Chlamydomonas reinhardtii: one gene and its partners. The main gene of each other region encodes a partner of the protein of the gene in region 3 in a complex. Links are inferred from orthologs where the notes say so. Each region holds a gene or a part of one and is shown on either strand. Other genes may lie near its edges.

Region 1 (3,449 bases), on a different chromosome or scaffold from region 3:
TTAGTAGGCGCCCGCGTCAAGGTGGCTGGGTTGATAACGACCCGGGAGGGGAGGGCTCAGCCCTTTTCCTGCCTCCCTAAGGCAGCCACCTCCTTGTTGTTTTGAACGTCGGGGGGGCTGTGCGCGTTCTGGGTGGGTGGGAGAGGACAGTTTGTGCGAGATCTGTGGGGCTGTCACGGTAATTGACGGGGGCGCCTGAAAAGACAGATGAGCCAGTGCGGACCGGAGGAGGGAGTGATTGGACTTGCTGTTCGCGCGACTGAAGAGGGAGGGATAGGCGAAACAGGGGAAATCGGTAAGGATGTGGAGGGTCGGAGAACTTGGTTGGGCGGGGAAAGTAGTGGGAGGAGTGGGAGAAGTGTCTGTGTGTCAGGCGGGAACGTCGTGATTGAGAGGAGCGGGCTGCGGAGGTATCGGGTGGACTTTACGCAGCCCTCAGCGCCCGTTCAAATTTCCGCCGAGCGTGCCCTGCCTCTCATGGGGCGAGCCATCGCGCTGCGTAGCGGGGAGGTTTCTCTGAGTTTACACGCAGCTCACACACGCGGCTTCCCAAACAGCGCGCGCACGACTATGCACTCCCACTCACGCGGCGCGCCAACCGTCAGCCTCCGCCATGCCCCCGCCGTGCTCTGTCGCAGCTTCCCACACGCCTCGCTGTCCAACTATGCGTTCCCAATCGCGCCGCGCGCCAACCACCACGCCACGCGCCCCCCTGTTCGTTGGCAGTTGCGCGAAAGCCCGTTTGTGATCCCCGTGTGTCAGTTAAAGTGTTGGTAGTTGCGAGGATTGCCGCGCCGCACGCCGCACGTGCAACGTACACGCATCACCACTGCTGCTTGCCTGGTGACGCCTGGGCACATACTGGAAGGTGGGCAACGACCCCGGAAAACCAGAGCACACGTGTCCCCGCATCCGGATGTTCACTCTGTTATTTTAAGTGCTCCACAGCCTCCACTTCAAAGCGCAAGTACCGCGATCAAAGCACACTCTGTATGTCGCAGTGATCAACTCATGAACCTGCCCCCAGCAAACCAACGGCCTCCTCCGTTATCAACACAGCATGCAAATGCGCATTAGAACTGGTTCAGCGTCAGTAGCGTCTCAGCTTGCATCGTACACGACGCCCGCAACTCCCCTACACTCACAGTTGCACAACACGCAACTCTCCATCCAAAGTGCACCAAGGCTTTTTTCAGCCGTGCAAGGCGCCTCACTGCAATCATGCGGCATGCGGGGCGAGCCTAACACGCAACCCTGCGCAAACTGCTGCGGACAGCCCGCACCGTAGCGCAGCTTCCTTCAAATGGCCCCCAGCCCCGCACCGAATTGTAACAGCCATCCCTGCGGCTTTACCGCAGCTGCGCCTCCGCCGCCTCGTGGATAAAAGGGATGCGCGCCCATTGCCCCAGCATGCTGGACACGATGCCGAACACCACCCACATGGTGATGAAAATCCAGATGAAGCTCTGCGACTGAATGTACACTTGCGCGCCCCAGCCGGACGTGGGCGGCGTCAGGACCGTCTCCAGCAGGCGCGGCAGCACAAGGATGATGTCCAGCAGAATGGCCTGGACGGCGTTGAAGCGCACGAATCGGCTGAGGCTGGGGTTGTTCACCACGCCCAGGTACAGGCCAAAGAAGACGATGAAGGAGCCGAAAGGCAGGGAGTGGTACAGGCTCATGGCGGGCAGGAACGGCGTTATGCACGCCTTCGCCGCGGGGTACATGTGGAACAGGTAGCGACCATACTGCACTGCGTCGAAGTACGGCAGGATGTAGGGCAGCGCAGCCAGGACGCGGTCCACGATGCCGGGCGTGGAGCTGTAGCCCCGGCCCCCGCCGGGCGCCGAGTATCCGCCGCTGCGCGCGTGCACGGTCACGGCCCCCTCACGAGCCGGGCGGCGCATGGCTTGAGCTCCGATGGGGCGAAAAGGCAGGCTCGCACAGCCTAGAGCGCGAGGGCGCGCTGGCGTCGCCAGGGTGCGATGGGATGCGAGCGCCTGCATGGCTACTGCTCGGGAGCTACGGTGTACTCGGGTTGTAAATCTTTGGTAAAAGGTTAACTTCCAGTGTCAGTGAACGGCAGGACTGCAGCCGAAAGACTTCCATGCAATGGGACTGCAATTGCTGTTCTTTCTCAGATAGGTCTTCCAGCTTCGACTGTGGCGTAGAGCTGTAACTCAATTCCCATTATCCAACAAACATGGCAGAGCACGGGTTGAAGATAGCAGTGGTGGGTCCTCAGAGGACTGGGAAGACGCTGCTGTGCCGAGCGCTAGCGGAGCAGCCTATCCTCCTTGGAGAAATGTCATACCAGCCTACGGCTGCAGTCAGGTCAGTGGTGTCGCTTTGTCCTGGGCCGCGCATGTGCTCAAATGTCGTTTGCCAACGTCTCCCTCTGCGACCGGTGCTGCTCTCGGTGTGTAATGCTTTCTGAATCCCTGCAGGATCCAAGAAATCAGTCGCGTGCTGGGCATTGACCGCGTCAAGGTCCAGTTCTGGGACGTGTCGGGGAGCGTGCAGTACCAGTCCTACTGGCCGGTGCTCGCCAAGGTGCGCTTGATGGAACGGTGCACGGGTCTGACGGCAAGGTGCACGTTTGGATCTAGCACTGACATGGGGTAGGGGGGCTGGGCTTGGAATGGGCAGGGTTGGTTGCCAAGCACAGTAGGTCTCAGGCATGCGGCCATCCGCGTGCTGTTCCGCAGGAGGTGGACGGCCTGCTGATGGTCATTGACCCCAACCGGCCAGAGCAAGAGCGCGACCTGGAGACCTTCTACCGGAACTTTGCAGAGCCCAACAACCTATACACGCGCCAGTGCATGGTCATGGCCATTCAAGTGCAGAAGGAGGGCGGCGGCCTGGGCGGCTGGCAAGGTGCGCCGCTGGCGGGGGACAGTAGCCGCACACATATGCACAGGCTAGCAGCCTGTCCAGTGAACGTGCGTGCTGCTTGCCATAGTTTTAACGTGCTAAAGCGTAGCGATGTGTTCACCCTGTACGTGTGCAGGCCTTCAGGGCGGGTTGAAAAAGTTGTCGCAGTCTTACGTGGCCATCAACCCTGCCAACCCCGCTGCCGGCGTGCAAGTAAGTCTGGTATCACCGAACAGCACACGTGCGAAACATATCGCTTATGTGACTTCTGCGGCGGCGCACTGTCGTGCTCAGGGCAGGTACCCGTAGTTGGAACGATGCACGCTAGCCTGCTGCAAGCACCAACGCTGCCGACGACGCCAACCCGCTGCAGGAGGCATACTCGCATTTGGACGTCCTATTCCAGGGTGCGCTACAAAGCAAGAAGGAGGCGCTGGAGAGCTCATACATGAACCAGGAGGACCAGTAGTATGCAGGATAGCAGCCCCAGCGCTTCCAACTGCCCTGAGAGGATACGCTTAATCGCAAGTCGTCTCACGGTGGAGCCATGTACATACGGTAGATACGGAGCCTGT
Region 2 (4,104 bases), on a different chromosome or scaffold from region 3:
CCATGCCGCCGCCGCCGCCGCCCTCGCCGGCACTGCCACCGCTGCCGCGTTGCAGTTGGAAAAGGCTGGGGCCGGCGCCAGCTCCGTCTGCCGCGCCCGTGCTAGCCCCAAGCCCTATCATACCGCTGCCGCTTGTCCCGCTTGCTCCGCTGCCAACACCATGCAGCATGGATTCGCCTCGTCCCAGCTTGGTCATAATGCGTCTGCGCGGACATCCCCGCCCAGCAGGAAGCGGGTAAGTTTACGTATTGAAATCGGCAAAGTCTTAAGGCAGAGGCGCGGATTGATCAGTGTTGGTGCGGTTTAAAGGCCTACTAAGTTTTGACTTCCTTTATCTACGATGTCTGCAAGAGCTGCTGCTGACTGTTTGCCATTTCCCCCGCAGCAGTGTGGGCGCAAACCGACCTGCGTGCCCGTGTGCGTGCCCGGCTCACCTCATGCTGCCGCGCTTAATCCAGGCTCCGCCGCTGCCCTGAGCCTGCTCCTCTGCGTCCGAAGCTTCATGGCTGAAGCTGTGGGACAGGACGCCGGGCGAAGGCAGGGGGGGGCCAGAAGTGGAGGCACCGGCATGTCTCCAACCGACATGTCGCCGCAGTCAGCGCGTTCCCGCGTGACGTGCAGTGTGTACCACACGGCAGCACCATGCACCAGCCCCAGCCCGCACCTTGCACGCGCGATGGTTTGGCCAGTCTCTGGCTGGTAGAACTCGAGGTCCCTGCATCAGTCAGGAGTGTGGCGTTCATCGGCCCACCTTCCAAAGCGTAGCGCAATTGTCCATGATGCTCGTCTGTTTCTAGTTTATGCCTTGACACCAAAGCTCAAAGCCAGCATCAATGCCATTGCGTGCAGCGTTGCCGAGAACGGAAGGGCCGGGTCAAAATGGCTTTGTTGTTGCTGCTTACTCTTCAGTCTGCAATTCCTCCTCCCTTGTCTTGCGAAATGTCTTAAACATTCTTTCTGGTGAGAGCGGCCTTTACGCCGTCCAAGGGTCAATGCTCAAACGCGCAAGAGCGCCTTACGCGCTGCCTTGCTACTCCATTTGTAAGTAAAGTGTCAAGGTGTAAGAATTTGCTAGGTCAAAGAGAAGTTACTTGGCAGACTTGCACCAAAACGGGCGAGCCTGTAAGACCCATCTGCTCGCGAAAACGCTGGTAATAGAAAGTCTTCACATGTCGACTGTGGAACCGGCAGTGGCAGCGCATGCTCAGCCGCGAGAACCTCGAGCATGCCCCATGCAGCTTCTGCTTCCATTACTGCAGTTGCCGAACAAATAGTCCGAGGACATATATAAGCGTTATATAATACAACGTTTCCAGCAACACACAAGACATTTGGGCCAGCTTCAAGCAAAATGACGTCCCTACACGCACTGTCCCCTGCCAGCAACATTCAAGCTTCGCGTTGTGTGCGCCGCGCACTCCCAGGCCAAGCTAGGTATGCATCTGTACTAGCCACACCCCGTCTACCCGGTCGCCGCACCGCGCCGAGCAGCACGCAGAACGATGGGCCAAGCCCCTCCGCCAGGCCGGTGGTGCTGGCGCGCTCTCTCTTCGACAACCGGGGGAAAGACGACTTTGGTGACCGCATCCTTGCGTCGATACCCTTTCTACTGCCGCTGCTGGATGGCCTGCCTTATGGTGAGCTGGCCCGCTTTGGCCAACAAATTACGTGTGGTCTTTCTTATAGCCACATGTTGTGGACGTCGTGAAGGCGCTGCTGAAACGAGCACGGGGATATGCGAGGCGGAGGTCGATGGTCGCGAGCGCGCGTAGCCTCACGCCCCGCTGGCACCGTACCACCGCTCGCGCTCTCTTAGCGCAGCGCCGTGTCGCGTCCAGAGGCTCACACACGGCTGTTTGCCACCTCAAATCAATTGCGGGACGAGTAGCGGCTGCGTTCGCAGCTCGCGCGCAGTTGGTGCGTCGAGGGTGTTGCAGCGCGACTACGCTGTCAGCTGGGGTCCACTTTTCTCCCTCCACAGGCTCCATTAGCTGCGTGCAGCTCGCCAACCCCGCCAGCGCACGCCTCCCCCCTCCCAGCCCTCTTCAGCCAAGTCTGCTGCAACAATACCTTCTACAAACATTCCCCAGCTCTCAGCCAATCCAGTCAAGCCAAGCCCAAATGCCCGGTGCTCCATTCCCTCTCACACGCACGCGCATCACCACACGCACTCCAACCCTCAACACCTACCCACAACCGCCAACTCCCCCTCAATCCCCTCCCCCACCCCCCGGACGATTCTTGACTATTGGCCCTCTTTCCTTGGGCTCGGGCAAATAACCCCCACTCCGTTCTGCACATGAACGGCTGCCCCCCCCCCCCGCCCCCTTGCAGCCAAGTTCATAATGATCCAGTACCCCTTCGTGGCCCGTGCCTTCGCGCCCGTGGCCCCCCTGATGTACATCTACCACGCATTCCCCTTCGCGCCGTGAGTGTCCGAGAGGGTGTGTCTGTGTGCGTGTGTGTGCGTGTGTCATGAAGTGTGGATGTGTCGGGAGGGTGTGGGTGTCAAGAAAGTGTGGATGTGTCGAGAGGGTGCGGGTGTGAACAGAGGGTGTGGTTACGTGTTTCTTCAATGGGTTGCACGCCCTCCCTCCCAAAGCCCCCCCTCCTCCCCAACCCACCCAACCCAACCCCCCAACCCAACCCACTCAACCCAACCTACACACCCATTTCCCCCCCACCCAACACCCATCTCGCCCCACCCACAGGTTCCTGGTGTTCCTGGCCATCTACGCCGGCATTGTGAACAACCAGGGCCTGCCGCGCTTCGTGCGCTACCACGCCATGCAGGCGGTGCTGCTGGACGTGCTGCTCATGTGAGCGGGGGGACAGGGGGAGGAGGGGAGGGAGGGGGAAAGGGGGGGGGAGGGGAGGGAGTGTGGGTGAGGGGAAAGGGGGGCACGGGAGGGGGGGGGTTATTTGCACCATTCCCAGCAATAAACCAGTGACACGGAGACGCTTGACAGGGGATGGGATGGGAGGGGACGGGAGGGGCCCCAACAGCACGTGTGCGTGTGCGTGTGCGAGCGTGTGTGCGGGCGCCGCTGCTAAGTCGAGGTACCAGGGGCAGCGCCGTGTGGGCACTTGCAGCGGGGCCTGCACGCGACCCCTACTGCCACACCGCTATGTGGCTCCCTTCCCTATCCGGTGCCCCTCCCCTTTTCAGTTCTTTGTCCTCAACCTCTCCCGTCCTCCTCCCCTCCTCCTCCTCCTCCTCCTCGTCCCTCCCCTCCCCCCCCCCCACAGTATCCCGCAGGTCATCCTCAACGACCTGTGGAAGGCGCCCACCGACCCCCTGGGACTGCAGGTGGGTGGGGGGAGTGGGTGAGGGGTATGTGCGTGAGCCCAACGGTGGGGTGGGGGTGGGTGGGGGGTGTAGATTGGGTGGGTGAGGGTGGGGGGAGTGTGTTCTTTTTGTCGGCTTAGGCGGTAGAACGTAGACAATCAACTCGCGGGGAGTGCAGGGAGAAGATCATTCCGTACGCTGCCTACCCCCAACCTACACCCGCACACCTATCCCTCCCTCCCCTTACACTCTCCCTCCCTGGATGGCTATCCCCCCTCCCCCCCCCTCTACCCGCCCAGGCCTACATCACCGCCTACAACACGCTGTTCCTGTTCACGTCGGTCTGCGCCGCATACGGCATTGTAGGTCGGGGTAGGGAGGAAAGGGAGGAGAGATTGGGGGAGGGGGTCGGAAGGGGGGAGCGAGGCAAGGCCCGGGGCAATTTGGGGGGGGGGGTGGGAGCTAGTTTATTCCAATTCCAAAGAAACCAAGACCCAGAACCATGGGGGGCTGTGATGAGTTGGGGCTGTTGGGGCGGGGGGGGGCTGAGATGCCCGTGCCTAACCAAACAGGTTTCCGTCGCCCAACCAAGGAATACAGTGCCAGAGGGGGGGGCCAGGGGGCGATGGGTTCGCGGTGGGGGCAGAGGGCAAGGGCACACCGGGTTTTGTGCTGCAGCGTTTCCCTGTTGCCCGCGTGGCCATCACTAGCAGCATCAGTGGCGTTACTACCAACGATGAACGGCAATATCCCTCAAGTGCTTCAAGAGGGGACATTCCAAAGCACGCTAGGACAATTTTATGCTGCCAGGGCAG
Region 3 (3,975 bases):
GACATGCATACACACTCATATCCGTATGCCGCCGCATTGTTGCACCGCATACACAGTGTCTGCGCTTACTTCTCCTTGTGCTCTTCAACACACACACACACACACACACACACACACACACACACACACACACACACACACACACACACACACACACACACACACACACACACACACACACAGCCACGCACCTGGCTGGCGAACATCTGCTCCATCTGCTTCTTGACCTCGGGGTTGGACAGCATCCACTCGATGGACTGCGGGTTGCGCATGGGCTCCGGCAGGTAGGGGTACAGCATCTTCTGCATCTCCGGGTTGCGCAGCATGCTCTCCATCATGTCCGTCATCACGCCCGTGTCCTGAGGCGCTGCTCCTGTGGGACCGGCAGCGACGGGGGCAGCGGGCGAGGTGGGAAAGGAGTCCGGAGGAGTGAGGGCCAGGGGCAGGTTCGGGCACAGCTTGGAGGGTGGCTGAGTGCAGGAGTGGCCCGCAGAATACCGTGGGGCCTGGCCGAGCATGCCGCTGAAGGCTTTGATGTTCGGCATCGGTGGAAGACAGAAAGTTGTGGCTCGGTCGCAAGCGGAACCCTTAACCCTCGGTTGGGTGCCCACGCACGGAGCCATGAGGTACCAGCAGCGCGTTGCCCGGCACGCGCAAGCACCCTGACTGCCCACTCGCAGGACCCAAGCCCTGGTTACCCTGGTGCCCCTCCATTGATTCATTTGCCAACCCTACCTGCTGCACCCCGCCGCCGCCTGCCTCACAACCCGCTAACACCGCACATGCCTCTCGCCCGGCCGCCGCTCACTCCCCTCCTCTTTACATCCCGCACCTCCCTCTCGTGCCCCCTTCTCTCCTCTCCACCACCCGCACTCCTAAGCCCCGCCTCAGCCCTACCTCTCCCTCGCTCTCCCCACCCATCGTCTCACCTGACCCGCTGCTGCTGCTGGTGCCCCCGGCCCGGCTGCTGGCCTCGGCGTCCACGTCCGCAAAGAACGACGAGCGGCCGCTGCTGCTGGCGCCCGAGCTGCTGCCGCTGCTGGAGGGCTCCTTCACCACCGGCTCCTGTGCGTAAATGAAGGGGGCAGGAGGAGCGCTGGGCGTTTACGGGGTGAGGGATTGCGGCGCAAATGGAGCAGGAGAGCAACCGAAGAACAGAGAGGGGAGAGCAAGGGGGTGCGGGGTGCTGCAGGATACTGTCACTGGAATATCTTCACAGCCGCGTCAGCAGGCAAGGCAACGCACTACCGTTGTGCCGCCCAGCCCTCCACTTTGATTCAATATTTTGCTGACTTAATATCGCCCATGCGCAAGGGGAGCCCCGTCATGTGTTCACCCCCGACATCGCCCTGCCTTTAGAAAGCTGGTAGAACTAGCTGCCTCGATCCGCCCCTCGCCCTTTTGCAGCCTAGGCCATCATCCCAACCGCATTATGTCCCTGCCGAAACTCACCACGACATCAAGCGGCTTGGTGGCGCTGGACGCCGCCGCGGCGGCGCCAGCCGCTGCTGCCGCAGGCGCCGGCTCCGGCTTGCGGGGCTCGCGGCCCTCGCTGTTGAGGCGCGATGCGAACTTCTCGCCCTTGCGCTCACTGCTGCTGGCACCGCTGCTGCTGGCGCCCGCGAAGGCAGGAGAGGCGGTGGTGTCCACGGTGGAGGGACCCGCCGCCGCAGCAGCCGCGAAGTTGGCGAAGGGGTTGGCGCCCGGGGCGGCGCCGGCGAAGGGGTTGGCGCCGGGCGCGGCGCCGCCAAAGGGGCTGCCGGGGCCGCCGAACGGAGGCATTCTGTGCACGTGTGTACAGGTGTTGAGCGGGCCGTGATGGGTGACAGAAGGCAGTGTGCAGTTGGGTGGGCACGCGCCTGTGCCCCAGCTCTCCCGCAAACATGGTACTCACGTGTGCTGTGCGCGACTATCTTCTTCATGCTCGCAACCCCCACCCATCCCCCACCCCCACGTTCCGTCCGCCGCCCAACTCACCCCGCCCCTCCAGGCGGCGAGCCCATAGCGCCAGACATCTGCTTCATGGCCATCTCCATCATTATCTGCTGCGGCGTCTTTGGGTTCTTCATATACTCCTGGACCTGCGCGGCCAGGCATTGCCCGTTGGCAAGAGAAAGATACTTGCCAAGTGCAAGTCACCGTACCTTAGCAAGGACCTGACCCAGAATCACACCCGCGCCGAGCCAAATCCACCAAGGAGCGCCAGTCGAGGCAGGCTCCTCCTTGTAGGGAGCCGGAGGAGGAGGATAGTAGGCGGCAGCGGGGGCCGCCATGTAGTATTGCTGGCGTGCAGCAGCGTCCGCGGGCATACCCTGCGGAGTGTGCGCGAATTAGAACCATCGTCGACTGCCCGGAGCCGAGCCTCCAAATCGCAGTGGCTAGCCTCGCGACCGGCTTGTCGCTCCACATCAGCTTTTATTTACACGTACCGGGTAGTAGGGCGCCGGAGGCGGCATCGGATACGTCGCGGTCGTCTCCTGGGGCAGCGGCGCACCCGCGACCGGCACAGGCACGGGCGCTGCGACCGCTTCAACGGGCGCACTCACCACCTGCTGCTGATCAGAGCCTGCATGCAATGGGAACGCTGCCGATTAGCGCGCGTCGGGGCCAACCTGCACGCGCATTTTATGTGCAAAGCCCTGCTCCGGAGCCCCAATACCCCAGCGTGCTTGCCTTGCACAGCCCGGCATTTGATGGAAGCGCGGGAGGGCAGAGCAAGGGCTGCCTTCCCGAATCCCCGAGGGGCGGTTGTGCGGGAACACAACATTCTTACGATTGTAGCTGACCTCTAAGTATCAACTAACTAGAGAGGGGAGAAGAAATTAGTGCCAGGGAATTCCTGTGGGGGGCTGGGACAAAGCACTCAGCCTGCATGCAGCTCTGAGTTTGGGAAATTCCTGGCTTTTTAGGCGCCGCTTTCCAGGCTGATTCAATTGCACGCTTAGTTTCATTTGTAACGCTTAGCAAAAAAACAAAGCGACCGGTTTGGACACAAACTTCTGGAACTCCCTGAACGACGTACTTCACCTGCACGCCAGGGCTTGTTTACATTATTTCCAGGAACTGCACAGACGCGGAGCCTCACAGGCGGGCTATGGTCTCCCGGACTTGACGTCGTCGTGCACCGTCTGCTGAGCCGGGACACAAAGTTCGGTCAAACATTTCAGTGGCACACATTTAGCTGCGCTCTGCGCTGTAAGGAGCCCGGAGCATGGCGGAGACGCAGGAGGAGCAGCCCCCGGTCGTCCACGCGGACGGTAGGTCAATCCGAGATGCAAGGCCCGGAACATGAAGTCTCTACAAGCATACGAGTCATCCGGGGGCTGCGGCGGTCATGGGCGCGGTCGCGGCGTGTGGAAGCGAAAGTAGTCAATCTAACACCAAGGCGAAGACCGTTGCCGCGGCGGTTGTCCTGAGCCCAAGCTCCTCAGCTGTGCTCTGGACGAATCCATGGCATCCTATTCCGGCGTGCTGGGTGCACGAACTCGTGCTCATGCTCACGATTACCGGCGACCAGCCTGGCGCTGGCGCAGAAGCCGCAGGCAGCCGGGCGGCGTTAAGATGCAATAATGATAGTGTTCGTCAACACGATTTCGGCTTCCAAACTGGATAGTACGGCCTCGACCGATAACCTTGGTCGCCGCCCCCTCCCTCCCTGCGACCACCTCGTGCGCCCAAAAAGCAGGGGCCGCCGGGGACACCGACTTGCCGCTGCGGACCCTGAGCGAGTTCACCATCATCAACACGGCTGCTGGGAATGCGCCCGTTAGCTTGGACGCTCTCACAACGCTACCGCCTGGAAGCGTGATAGCGGTGGGGAACTGCCCTCCGGTTGACGCTCCACCAGGTGCGACCCGCAGAAGCCCACGTCTCTCACCATTCCTCCTTGAGCCAGGGCAGGCACACACTTACGCCAAACCCCAACCATGTATATGTACAGATGCGACGACGATTGTCACGGTTCAAACGCAACCA

Evidence for each region.
Region 1: CHLRE_12g508000v5 (region 3) and CHLRE_01g039150v5 share a complex: the UniProt entries of both Arabidopsis thaliana proteins name them as parts of the tic complex. The link is inferred for Chlamydomonas reinhardtii from reciprocal best matches to the Arabidopsis thaliana genes TIC40 and Tic20-II.
Region 2: CHLRE_12g508000v5 (region 3) and CHLRE_04g225050v5 share a complex: the UniProt entries of both Arabidopsis thaliana proteins name them as parts of the tic complex. The link is inferred for Chlamydomonas reinhardtii from reciprocal best matches to the Arabidopsis thaliana genes TIC40 and Tic20-V.

Annotation. Positions count from the first base shown.
Region 1 is NC_057004.1:5,530,207-5,533,655, forward strand, and holds CHLRE_01g039150v5 (uncharacterized protein), read right to left. Parts: upstream 2,042-3,449; 5' UTR 1,908-2,041; coding exon 1,350-1,907; 3' UTR 511-1,349; downstream 1-510. Other genes in the region: CHLRE_01g039200v5 (uncharacterized protein), read left to right, coding at 2,204-2,334, 2,448-2,553, 2,709-2,877, 3,011-3,087, 3,248-3,343. UniProt on the Arabidopsis thaliana protein: May be involved in protein precursor import into chloroplasts. Not redundant with TIC20-I, TIC20-IV or TIC20-V.
Region 2 is NC_057007.1:3,016,708-3,020,811, forward strand, and holds the start of CHLRE_04g225050v5 (uncharacterized protein), read left to right. Parts: upstream 1-1,298; 5' UTR 1,299-1,351; coding exon 1,352-1,637; intron 1,638-2,334; coding exon 2,335-2,428; intron 2,429-2,711; coding exon 2,712-2,819; intron 2,820-3,249; coding exon 3,250-3,310; intron 3,311-3,588; coding exon 3,589-3,651; intron 3,652-4,104. Other genes in the region: CHLRE_04g225000v5 (uncharacterized protein), read right to left, coding at 1-203, 435-512, 665-715, 903-952. UniProt on the Arabidopsis thaliana protein: May be involved in protein precursor import into chloroplasts. Not redundant with TIC20-I, TIC20-II or TIC20-IV.
Region 3 is NC_057015.1:2,247,412-2,251,386, reverse strand, and holds the start of CHLRE_12g508000v5 (uncharacterized protein), read right to left. Parts: upstream 2,805-3,975; 5' UTR 2,674-2,804; intron 2,567-2,673; 5' UTR 2,457-2,566; coding exon 2,430-2,456; intron 2,313-2,429; coding exon 2,145-2,312; intron 2,082-2,144; coding exon 1,978-2,081; intron 1,784-1,977; coding exon 1,453-1,783; intron 1,066-1,452; coding exon 930-1,065; intron 374-929; coding exon 192-373; intron 1-191. Other genes in the region: CHLRE_12g508050v5 (uncharacterized protein), read left to right, coding at 3,212-3,257, 3,686-3,847, 3,941-3,975. UniProt on the Arabidopsis thaliana protein: Involved in protein precursor import into chloroplasts. Part of the motor complex consisting of a co-chaperone (TIC40) and a chaperone (HSP93) associated with the import channel (TIC110).